Linked DNA regions of Drosophila melanogaster. The protein of the gene in region 1 purifies or fractionates together with the protein of each later gene. This does not show direct contact. Each region holds a gene or a part of one and is shown on either strand. Other genes may lie near its edges.

Evidence for each region.
Region 2: the proteins of Hsf (region 1) and Ing3 purify together in Drosophila melanogaster (affinity purification with western blotting, with the first as the bait; one study listed by BioGRID). This does not show direct contact.

What each region holds. Positions count from the first base shown.
Region 1 is NT_033778.4:18,129,803-18,136,742, reverse strand, and holds Hsf (heat shock factor), read left to right. Parts: upstream 1-2,108; 5' UTR 2,109-2,336; intron 2,337-2,634; exon of another isoform or gene 2,635-2,647; 5' UTR 2,648-2,662; coding exon 2,663-2,872; intron 2,873-3,630; coding exon 3,631-3,739; intron 3,740-3,801; coding exon 3,802-4,949; intron 4,950-5,008; coding exon 5,009-5,461; intron 5,462-5,553; coding exon 5,554-5,607; intron 5,608-5,697; coding exon 5,698-5,773; intron 5,774-5,836; coding exon 5,837-5,988; 3' UTR 5,989-6,440; downstream 6,441-6,940. Other genes in the region: Pcl (polycomblike), read right to left, coding at 1-819; Dlip3 (dorsal interacting protein 3), read right to left, coding at 6,738-6,940. UniProt on the Drosophila melanogaster protein: DNA-binding protein that specifically binds heat shock promoter elements (HSE) and activates transcription. In higher eukaryotes, HSF is unable to bind to the HSE unless the cells are heat shocked.
Region 2 is NC_004354.4:18,650,124-18,655,020, reverse strand, and holds Ing3 (inhibitor of growth family, member 3), read left to right. Parts: upstream 1-1,929; 5' UTR 1,930-2,057; coding exon 2,058-2,157; intron 2,158-2,233; coding exon 2,234-4,194; 3' UTR 4,195-4,303; downstream 4,304-4,897. Other genes in the region: CG6659 (uncharacterized protein), read left to right, coding at 1-214, 281-474, 600-725, 831-1,035; Hou (houki), read left to right, coding at 4,751-4,868.

The DNA.
Region 1 (6,940 bases):
AGAATCCGGCTCATCCACAATCACAACTGCTGCTGAGGTGGTCGCGGTACCACTATAACTGCTGCTGGATACAGAACTGCTGCTGCAGCTGCTGCTATCCGCCGTGCTGCTGTCGATGAGGGGCAGGATGGCCTTGTGCTGGATGGCCGGTATGATGGGCGAAGGTTGTTGGGCCGTGGTAAGCGATGAACTTAGCGAAGTGGGCGTCTCCGTATAGTGGTTATTGATGCAAATGTTTATGCGGTCTAACACGACGGTGGAGGGCGGTGAGGTGGAATTGGTCACAGGCACCAGCGGCGGCGGCTGCAGTTGCTTGCCAGTTCCGCTGGCCGCCAGTAGATTGATTTGTCCCGCAGTTTGGCCACCGCCACTGGGCAAGTAGTACGACTGAACGGGAGCATATGTGGAGTGCGCTTCCTGTGGCGGCTTATTCAGACTGTATACACTTGGCGCCGTCGAGATGATTCGTATGTTGTTGGCCTTGAATGGGCTGCAGCTTGTTGCCGCCTGTTGCTTCGGTGGCGTTGATTGCTGAGCGAAACTGTTCGTGATCTGGATGGTGCTGGGATGTGTGGGATGCGTGGTCTGCGGCCCAGTGGTGGCATAGTATCGCTTGGCCACCGTGGCAGGTCCTACGCTGGGCGGCAGGATCTGGTAGGTGGTCGTCATCCACTGCGGCTGCTGGCCAGCTGGCTGTGCTAAGTAGCCGTAGGTGGCCGGAGGAGCTGATGGGACAGCGGTACTCGGCTGTTGCATGAACGGATGTGCCACGTTCTGCGGTGGATGATCGTGTTGCAAGTGAAAATGGTTGTTCATCATTGCGGCTGTGTGTGCGTGCTAGATGCGTTGATTTTTCCAGTGCGCAGTCTTTTGTGAAAAATATGGATCTTCAGTTCGATTTGCCGGCTTTTCGCGGCCCGTTTTTTCATTGATTTTGCGATTGTTTCCCGCTGATTAACACGAGCTCATTAATCTGGCGCCTTTTTCGTCGAATTTGTTGTTGCCCGCCGACACATACATGCACACTTTTGCTACACATACGGACTGGAGAGCGGGCCCTTTTGTATTCTCTGTGTCTTCCTCATTCGTACTTTTCCACACGCACCACAGGCACTTCTAGTTTCGGTTGCCGATTTACCCACCTTTAAGTGTGTTTCGAATCGTGCATTAAATTAGCATTTTGCTCTTATTGATTCGGCTATCGGCTTTGAACGTCGTTGTCCCAAGTTCATCTTTAACACCAGCGAAAATGCACAAAACAAATCACTTGAAAATTAATTTGTGTCAGCCATTTTTCAACATATGCCCACCAGTGTGACCGCATCCAACAATTGTTCTTTTCGTTACATTTTCATATATAAATCTACCACAACTTATGTATGTTATGGTAATAAAATTAACTTGATTAAAATAAATAAAGAAATATTGGAAATTTGTCACCACAATTTTACATTTTTATATTTTTAAATATATCGAAACGTATAAAATATACCATAAATTTACTTAATTATCCCCACTGTGCCGGCAAAGACTCAGCGGTCTCGTCCTGGAAAATACTAGAAAATACATTTAAATATTTCCTAAAGATTCAAAAACGTTAATATCATACATAATTTACATTTTAAATGTAGAGTGACAATTATTAAATCAAATTAAAAAAAATAAAACTAACATTTATATTAAGGTAAAACTTTTTGATTGTCAAAGTAAATCCTATAGAAATTTCAAAATGAATGTTAATTTTTTTAGTAAGTATGCCCTTTGTATGCTTTTATGTACAACTTATCTAAAATCAAACCAACTAATTTTAATTTTAACTCATAATTATCTTAAAGATATCAAATAGAAAATACCAAATACTAAAATCCCTATCCTTTGGTCTGCCGTATTAAAATCGACAGTTGCCTATCAATTAATGTTATGGGTACACATATCAATACTAGCTTTAAAAACAAATAACAGAATTTGATAAGTTTTTAGTATAATGATCATCTAGTAATTGGGGTCAATTATATGAATACGAAGTTGCGCGCCAGAAAATACTAGATAAAAACCAGAGGACCAAGCAGACAGCTAGCAATGGTATATATAGCAGCGAACTTTAGTTCGATAGGTTTTTACCAAATTGGTCACGCTGCGAACAGAAGCAATTTTACTTGACGGAGGTTTCATTAAATTTTCACTTGTGAATAAAACGCGAAAAAGCACTTAAAAACCGAAGAACTGTGTAAAACAAAAGCGGTACGCCAAGAAAGTGAAGTGTAATAACTAAACTAAACAAGTAAAACGCGAGTTTTTCACTTCGCGAAAGGTTTGTGAGCTGCAAAATTGTTAAGGTAAGTAGGTTGAGCAGGAGAAGAAGAACTGGAGCTCCATTTGTGCAAGTTGGTGGCTCGAATGACGCACTTGGCTGCAACCGAAAACATTCGATTCGATCAGAGCTGCAACTTTCACATCAAAATTGTACCCATATGTACATTTTACATATGTATGGTGTACCTGGACACGCACACTGATTCCCGCACCCATACACACACTTAAACACACACACATACAGCGGCGTGGAAAAGTGAACTGTAAACTGGAAAAAAAGCGTTTGTGTTGGTGTTGGTGTGCAGTGAATTCATTGAGTAGTACTCCTTTCCAGGCTGCTGGTCACTTTATGTCCAGGTCGCGTTCATCCGCTAAAGCCGTGCAGTTCAAGCACGAATCGGAGGAAGAGGAAGAAGACGAGGAGGAGCAGCTGCCTTCCAGGAGAATGCACTCTTACGGAGACGCCGCGGCCATCGGAAGCGGGGTGCCGGCCTTTTTGGCCAAATTGTGGCGCCTGGTGGACGATGCCGATACCAATCGCTTGATTTGCTGGACCAAGGTAAGCCTACGCCGCCATATTGTTTATTTACCTTTCCAGGGACTCCCCTCCCACCACATACCGCTAATCAGCATGGCAACAACAATGACTTGGCCATGCAGGTGTCTCAAGCTCTCTTTGTAGCGTTTCGCTCTCTGTTTTGTTGTTGCCCATGCCGCATCGCACGTATGCAAGTTGCCTTCCCCACACACTCATCTTGTTGTTGTTGTCGATGTTGCCATTTGCATGCGTACGTGCGTGAACTCTGGAAAATTTTCCATCTCCAACTGACAATCGAATAATTTCCCTTGGTCATTCAGTTGGCTTTTCATTTAAGATAAGAGTAATTGGTTCTCACTTAGGTTACCACACACTCTTAACGAAGAGTTTATTGATAAGCATAGCCTACCATTTTTTGTCGACAACATATACTCATTAATATGTGAGTATGAGCGTAACATAATCTAATTTTCAAATCCAATATTTTTAGCGTGTTTCACGCATAAAAATCTCACAAAAATTTGAATTTTAAATGAAAAAGTTGACAAATTTTATAAAATACGAATTTTTTTAAAACGATCATTTTATACATTATATAAGAACACTAGTTCCAGCTTTGGCTCGTAACTATAGTTTTGCATCTATAGATATAATTACAATTAGCTAATTATTTTCGTTGCTTATCGGTTTTGGTTTGCGGCCAACCGCTAATAGGTTTGTGGCAACTACATATCAGCACAACTCTCATATCGCTTCCGTTTTTCGTTTTATTTTTGCAGGATGGCCAAAGTTTCGTTATACAAAATCAAGCGCAATTCGCCAAGGAACTATTGCCACTAAACTACAAGCACAACAACATGGCCAGCTTCATAAGGCAATTGAATATGTGTAAGTAAATGAAACATCGTTGAAACATCAACTGAAAACTAAAAAAAATTTGTGCTTTGCAGATGGATTCCACAAGATCACCTCTATTGACAATGGCGGACTACGTTTTGATCGCGACGAGATTGAATTTTCGCACCCATTTTTTAAGCGCAACTCGCCTTTTCTACTTGACCAAATCAAAAGGAAAATATCGAACAACAAAAATGGTGACGACAAAGGTGTCCTGAAGCCGGAGGCCATGTCGAAGATTCTCACCGATGTGAAAGTCATGCGGGGTCGTCAGGACAATCTGGATTCGCGCTTCTCCGCCATGAAACAGGAGAACGAAGTGCTGTGGCGCGAGATAGCCAGCCTGCGCCAAAAGCACGCTAAGCAGCAACAAATAGTCAACAAACTGATCCAGTTCCTCATTACCATTGTGCAACCGTCGCGCAACATGTCTGGCGTGAAACGCCACGTGCAGCTGATGATCAACAATACGCCGGAAATTGATCGTGCACGGACCACCAGTGAGACCGAGAGCGAGAGTGGCGGCGGACCGGTTATCCACGAGCTTAGGGAGGAGCTTCTTGATGAGGTGATGAATCCATCACCGGCTGGCTACACCGCAGCCTCACATTATGACCAAGAGAGCGTCTCTCCGCCTGCCGTTGAGCGTCCGCGATCTAACATGAGCATTAGCTCGCACAACGTCGATTATTCGAATCAGAGTGTGGAGGACTTGCTGCTCCAGGGAAATGGAACCGCTGGCGGTAATATTCTAGTAGGCGGAGCCGCTTCTCCCATGGCCCAAAGTGTGAGTCAATCGCCGGCCCAACATGATGTCTACACAGTCACCGAGGCGCCCGATTCTCATGTCCAGGAGGTGCCAAACAGTCCGCCTTATTACGAGGAGCAGAATGTGCTTACCACGCCCATGGTGCGGGAGCAGGAGCAGCAGAAGCGTCAGCAGCTTAAGGAGAACAACAAGCTACGACGACAGGCAGGAGATGTTATACTTGATGCTGGAGATATTCTCGTAGATAGTTCGTCGCCCAAGGCGCAACGGACAAGCATCCAGCATAGTACGCAACCTGATGTGATGGTCCAGCCAATGATTATAAAGTCTGAGCCGGAGAACAGTTCCGGACTGATGGATCTAATGACTCCCGCGAACGATCTGTACAGTGTTAACTTCATCAGTGAGGATATGCCGACGGATATTTTTGAAGTAAGATACATTTTAAACATCTTATGGTAGTTGCTAACTCTTTTCTCTTAACTCTTTAGGACGCTCTGCTTCCCGACGGCGTGGAAGAGGCAGCCAAACTGGACCAGCAACAAAAATTTGGGCAATCGACAGTGAGCAGCGGCAAGTTTGCCAGCAACTTCGATGTGCCCACCAACAGTACGCTGCTGGATGCCAATCAGGCCTCGACATCGAAGGCAGCGGCCAAGGCGCAAGCATCTGAGGAAGAGGGCATGGCTGTGGCCAAATACAGTGGCGCTGAGAACGGAAACAACCGCGATACCAACAACAGTCAACTCCTCAGGATGGCCTCAGTGTTAGTAGACCAGAAGAATACGAATTCAAGTCGGATAAGCCATAATCAAGCGGCTAATTCTTACTGTTGCAGTGACGAACTCCACGGGCACTTGGAAAGCATGCAAGATGAGTTGGAAACACTGAAGGATCTGCTGCGTGGCGATGGGGTGGCCATTGATCAGAACATGCTCATGGGTGTAAGTATCAACATTGAGTAGAATTTCTTGTATTAGCTGTCCGTTTGTCCGACTCGATGATTATTTAACTTATGTTCTATTTACATGATTAGGCGCTTAGCAGGACGCCCAATTTTCAGTTGCCGGAGGACGAGCTGCTTTTAAAGGTCAGCACAAAACGTCCACATCTGGCCTTCATGTCTGAAAATTCCCCTGCAGAACTAACTAACAATGTGATTTATTTGTATACTTTATAGCTGTTTAACGACTCTGATCTAATGGACAACTATGGCCTATCGTTTCCCAATGACAGCATAAGCAGTGAAAAGAAAGGTTTGTTCGGAATTCAGTATTAATTCCTTCGCTTGAGACTAAACTATTTGATGATTCAAGCAGCACCCAGTGGCTCTGAACTGATTTCCTATCAGCCCATGTATGATCTGTCCGACATTTTGGACACGGACGATGGCAACAATGACCAGGAGGCCAGCAGGCGCCAGATGCAGACGCAAAGTTCGGTTTTAAATACGCCACGTCACGAGTTGTAACTTATATTAAGTAGCAGCAGCTCAGCCGTTAAATTGGCGAACAAATCGTTTTTAGTGTTAAATGCAAATCTTGACACGTTAATTTTCATCACCTACTCTGTCTAACCATTTAGTTGATTCATACGATAATCACATTAATAACCACTATAATCATATGAATGATCTGTATATGCCTTATGCACTATATATATGATATATAGACTAACCAGTTCTTGTTGTAGAAAGACTCGAAGAATCAGTAAAGATTTAGATTTATTTTGTATCGCGGGATTTTGCGGGCCCCAGCTCAGCAGGTAGAAGATTTTTAGTTTGCACTAACCGATCGAGAGTACAGTGAAAGCTGATCGCATCGTATACGATTTAAGATCGCACGCTTCAGTTTATACATTTTACACACTACTCTTATCATTATTTCAAAATAAATTGTTTAATGTCGCGTTGAGCTGCAAATGAAATCAAATGTGTACTTTTTCTTTGGAACAATGAAACTTCGTTTGCTGCTAACCTTGTTTTGTGCATAATTTTATTCGACTCAATGTTGATACAACTAAAGAGATATGGACTATGGACACATATCGCCTCAAATTAACCTAGAACCTTAGCCTAGGACTCGAAACGTAGAGTTACAAGTTGTTTGCAAGTATGTAAATACATAAATGAAGGGGGAGTGTGGGAAGTGTTCGAGTGCGTTGTCTACCACTAAGGATACTAATCGAGAATTGTACGTATAGAATGATGACTATGACGCCTTAGCTTTCGTCCTTGTACTTGGCGTCCTTCAGAATGTTGGCGAACTCGAACTTGACCCGCTCCCGTTCCGATCTCCGCATGCTGCGCAGTGTGTCCACCAGCGATAGGCAGTAGAGCTCGATGGGATCGTTGAAGGACGACGTCACTTGGGTCTGAAGCGGCGCTTGGGTTGCCTTGCGCTTGAAGGGATTGGTCAGAAAAT
Region 2 (4,897 bases), on another chromosome or scaffold:
CCTCAACATGCACTACGTGTACAGCTTCCTGCAGATGCTAGTCTTCACCCTTATCGGACTCGCCGTGCGCAAGCTCTTCTTCCTCAGCTTCACGCAGGGCTGCGTCATCGCACCCACCGTCTGCTCCAAACTGTGGTACCATCGCCAGCGCAACATCTTCTGGTCGGTCTCGCTGGCCGTCTTCCTGCTCAGCATGTTCGATCCGGGCATGGTGGTAAGTTGGATACCGCCTCTATTGCTCACGGGAATTGTTGTGATTTCGTCGCCCTCTCAAAAATAGAACATTCGCGAAGAGTACTTCCCCACGCGCTACTCCAAGAGCGGTGACGACCTGGACAGCATGCTCGAGTGGATCAAGCTGAACACAGAGCGAGATGCGGTCTTTGCCGGCCCCGTGGACATCATCGGCACCGTGCACTTGACCACCAAACGGCCCATAGTCAACCATGCGCACCTGGAGATGCGTCAGATAGCGTAAGTTCTCCCAATCTGAGCGAGATAGCCTATCGACTATGCCCCTGCTCTGTCCCGCTCTCATTGGCATCCATATCCTGGCCATGCACGTACTGAAACTTCCGCCTTTGTTTATCTTTTTTAAGGGAGCGCACGGAGCACGTGTACTCGGTGTACAGTCGTCAGCAGTCGTCGGATATCTACAACCAGTGCGCCCAGCTGAAGATCCAGTACTTGATCATATCGCTGGACGAGTGCACCAACGAAGTGCGGTGAGTAGACGCAGACAAAATCCTCGAGACGGGCACTTGAACGCTTAATTGAGATATTGTATTCTTATCGCATTAATATGTACTTTTGCCTGCTTTCTACAACAGCGACGATTGCGATCTGCTGGCCATTTGGGATGACAAGCAGCCGGCCTACCAAAAATACCCACAGTTCTGCCACGAGCTGCTCCACAAGAACGTGCCCAGCTTCCTGAAAGTGTTCGCCAACGACCACTACGGCATTATCAAGATGTTCTCGCAGAGCGTCCAGATCAACCTCAAGCACAACAAGATGCCCGAGATGTCCATATAGGGCTGGCCGTCCACGGAGGCGGCGCGATGATGGAATGCTGGAATCGTGTTGTGTTGTACGTAGCTGTGTGAGCTGTGTGACTAGGATTTAGCATTTTACGATGTGTGTGTATTATGATTACGTTTAGTATTGCCCCAACCTCGGATGCCCGAACACATCTCGCACCCAATCCCAAATCCCGATCCCGCGTAGTAGCTGATTTGATATGGCAGATTGGCGATTAGAAGGAGGCCCCTTCCGCTAGATAGTAAACTGGATGCATTTAGCAGCTTGACTTGTTTCCGCGCCGCTGCGTTCAAACCTTGTTTGGATCATTCCCCGCACCCGCACCTGCGCCTGCGCCCTCGCATTCGAATAAGTTAATCTAGCCGAACGGAGCGACCTTAACTCTAAATACTTTCGTTAAGTTTAAGCTAAGCTTTTTACATTTACGCATGTAGTATACATATGACGATGAGACGCGTGTGGCAACGAAAGTGGCTGCATGTGGACGATGTGCATCCGGGAGCCACGATCCCAGACCCAAAAACAAGCGGGTAAACACGCATTTGCCAGGCAATAAGTGAAATAAAATGATATATTTGAAACAATCCTATGGGCATCTGTTGTTTGTTTATATCTTTAAAATGCTTACTCCTTATTGTTCACAACTTTTGAACAGTAAAAATGTGAGTATATATTTGTTTTGAAATATATTCACATTTTTAGTTTTATACAATACAGCTTATAATATGTAAATAAATAATATCATTAATTATGATTTCCATTTATACAATTTATTTAAATTTCGAATTTCACCTTACAGGGTTTGTGTCGCAGCTATCCACCCTGAGTTTGTATCGCGGTTTCGAGTCGATTGCTTAAATATCGATATTATCGAGCACTACCATCCGCATCTGGGATTAACTTCGTTTCGCCATCCGGTCACACACATACCCGCAACAATACACGAATTTTCATTAATAAACACACAAAGTAGTTAAAATTTTGGGTTTACACCGCGGCCCATTCGCATCGCCATCATGCTTTACCTCGAAGACTATCTGGAGATGATCGAGCACCTGCCGCAGGAGCTGCGCGACCGCTTTACCGAGATGCGCGAACTAGATCTCGCCGTCCAGAGTAAGTGCAACCAGAGAATCCGAATCTCTGCTTTTCGCCGGATCACTAACCAATAACTGCTCCTTGCGGTGCACAGACAACATGGACTCGCTGGACAAGAAGGCCCACATGTTCTTCAAGCAGTGCAAGCGCGACGAACTGCAGCACGAGTCGATGGACACGGAGTTCCACAGCCTGCGCGGCGAGTACTTCAAGGTGATGGAGGACGCCGACGAGAAGGTGGCTATTGCCACTCAGATACACGAGCTGGTGGAGCGCTACTTGCGCCGCCTGGATAGCGAGCTCTTCAAGTTCAAGTGCGAGCTGGAGGCGGACAACAACGGCATCACCGAAATCCTCGAGCGCCGCTCTCTGGAGCTGGACGGCAACTCCACTGCAGCCACCGCCCTGCTGCTGAGCATGAACCAGAAGGAGAACCGCTACTACGGCGCCAGTTCGGCCAATACCATGGTGAACAGCTCGACGGGACACGCAACGGGTGCCGCCACTGGCTCCTCCGGCATTGCACTGGTCAGTGGTGCTGCCGGAACGGGCGGTGCCCTCTCCAGCATCTCCACCGCCCAGTTGGGCTCAAGTCAGCGCCACCGCAAGCTGGAGAAGCGGCGGGAAACCATATGCACGGTGCCTGTTCAGGAGAAGCGCGCCAATCTGAATCACTCACTTCCCGTGGTCGGTTCGGGCTCCACGACTGCCGCGGCAGCCTCATCTTCGTCCGCCACAACGGCCGCAGCAGCCGCCAGCCTGGCCAGCGCGACGACTGCCCAAACTCATGTCTCCAACCACATTGGCAGCATCGCCGCCACTCATCTCACCCTGCCTGTGGCCATGGGCGTGGCCGGCGGCAGTAGCAGTCTTGCCAGCAGCTCGCTTGCCACAGGAACGGGTTCGCTGGTCCGCCAACTGCCCACGAACCTTACCCACACCGTGCTAAGCACCTCGGGTGGAGCGACCGCCGCAGCGGCAGCGGGCGGCAACTCCACGTCCGTGGTCGCTGCTGGTACGGCCCACGGGCACGCCCATGTCAGTGGGCACTCGGCCGCCGGGGCCACAGTCACCTACAACCTGCAACAACTGGGCGGAGGAGCCGCCGCATCTAGTGCCATTGCGGCGGCAGCCAGCCAGGCGATCGTGGCCACACAGCAGATGCAGCAAGGCCGCCGCACGGCCAGCCTCAAGGCGAGTTACGAGGCCATACACGGAACAGCGGGCACCACCACCGACTTCTGGACCCAAGCCGGTCAGGGTGGACTGCAGCAGTCGACCGCTGGATCGGTGACAGTGGCTGCCGGCACAGCGTTGGCCACCGGCGCAGCTGGCGGTAGTAGCACCGGCTCGCATCATTCGCACCACTCACAGTCGCACCATGGCGGCCATGGGCACGGACATGGTCATGGCCATGGGCATGGTCATGGGCACGGACACCACAGCAGCAGTGGTCACGGCGGCGGGCACAGCAGCCACCACCAGGAGAAGAAGCAAAAGAAGAAGCTAACCACAGCGCTGACGTTGCCCACAGTGCAGCCGACGGCCGGCTCCTCGTCGGGCAACTCGATTGGCTCGTCGTCGTCGATTAGTCTGGAATCGGTGAACAAGCTCACCACGTCGGCGGCCCTGGCGGCGGCATCGGCCACGACAACCTACATGTCTGTGGGTGGACAGGCGCTGCTCGCCATGACCCCCGGAGGTGGAGGCGGAGGCAACTTGGCGGAGAGTTCCGCTGAGGGCGTGCCCGCCGGAATGATTGCCATGAACCTGCCCACCACCACGGTAACGCCCGGCTCCAGCCTGACCATCGGCGAGAACGGACTCGTGGTGGAGCAGACGAACGAGGGCGAATGGTCGTACGATCCCAACGAGCCGCGCTACTGCACCTGCAACCAGGTGTCCTACGGCGACATGGTGGCCTGCGACAACGACGCCTGTCCCTACGAGTGGTTCCACTACCCCTGCGTGGGCATCACCCAGCCGCCCAAGGGCAAGTGGTACTGCCCCAAGTGCACCGCCTCCATGCGGCGCCGTGGCAACCGAAAGAACTGAGGCTGACTGCGCCTGCTGGCGCCCCTCTTCCGTGGCGGGGGCGGCGGCGTAGGCACCTGGTCGCGTCGCTAGCGGCTCTTATACTTGTAAAGTGACAAATAAACAAATTCAAAGTATTCAATAAAGTTAGATCAGCAATAGAGCAGCTCTTTATATTCAGTTCGGAACGCAAAGGCGAATAGTGGATTGGGATTGCACTAATATATCTTAACTAAAGTAGTTTAAGCCAGCTTCTAGCTTAAATAACAAATTTAGGGTGTTTTCGCTACAATAATAATAAACAATAAAATATAGTTCATTCGATAGTTTGATTTCAAAATTCGCGCCCTCTTGGCAATCAAACAGCGTGACCATGCTGCGCTTGCTAAAGCACTCTGGTCACGCTGAACAGAAGAAAAGAAAATTTCCAGCGTCATTTGTGCATTGCAAGTTAGTAAACAATAAAAGCGCATAAACAGGGCTAGGAAAAGCGGGAAGACGATTAGGTAAACAGAATTCGACGCAAATCGGTTGGAAAAACGGCCTCAAGATTGGCAAGATACGCAAGAGCAAGAAAATGAGCTACAACGAGAAATCGGAGGCCATCATCAAGGAGGAGTGGCTGCAGCGCCTGGAGCAGTTTCCCTTCAAGCAGGCGGACATGAATCGCCTGATCATGAACTACTTGGTCACAGGTGAGTCCGGGTCACCAGCCCGCAGCCAC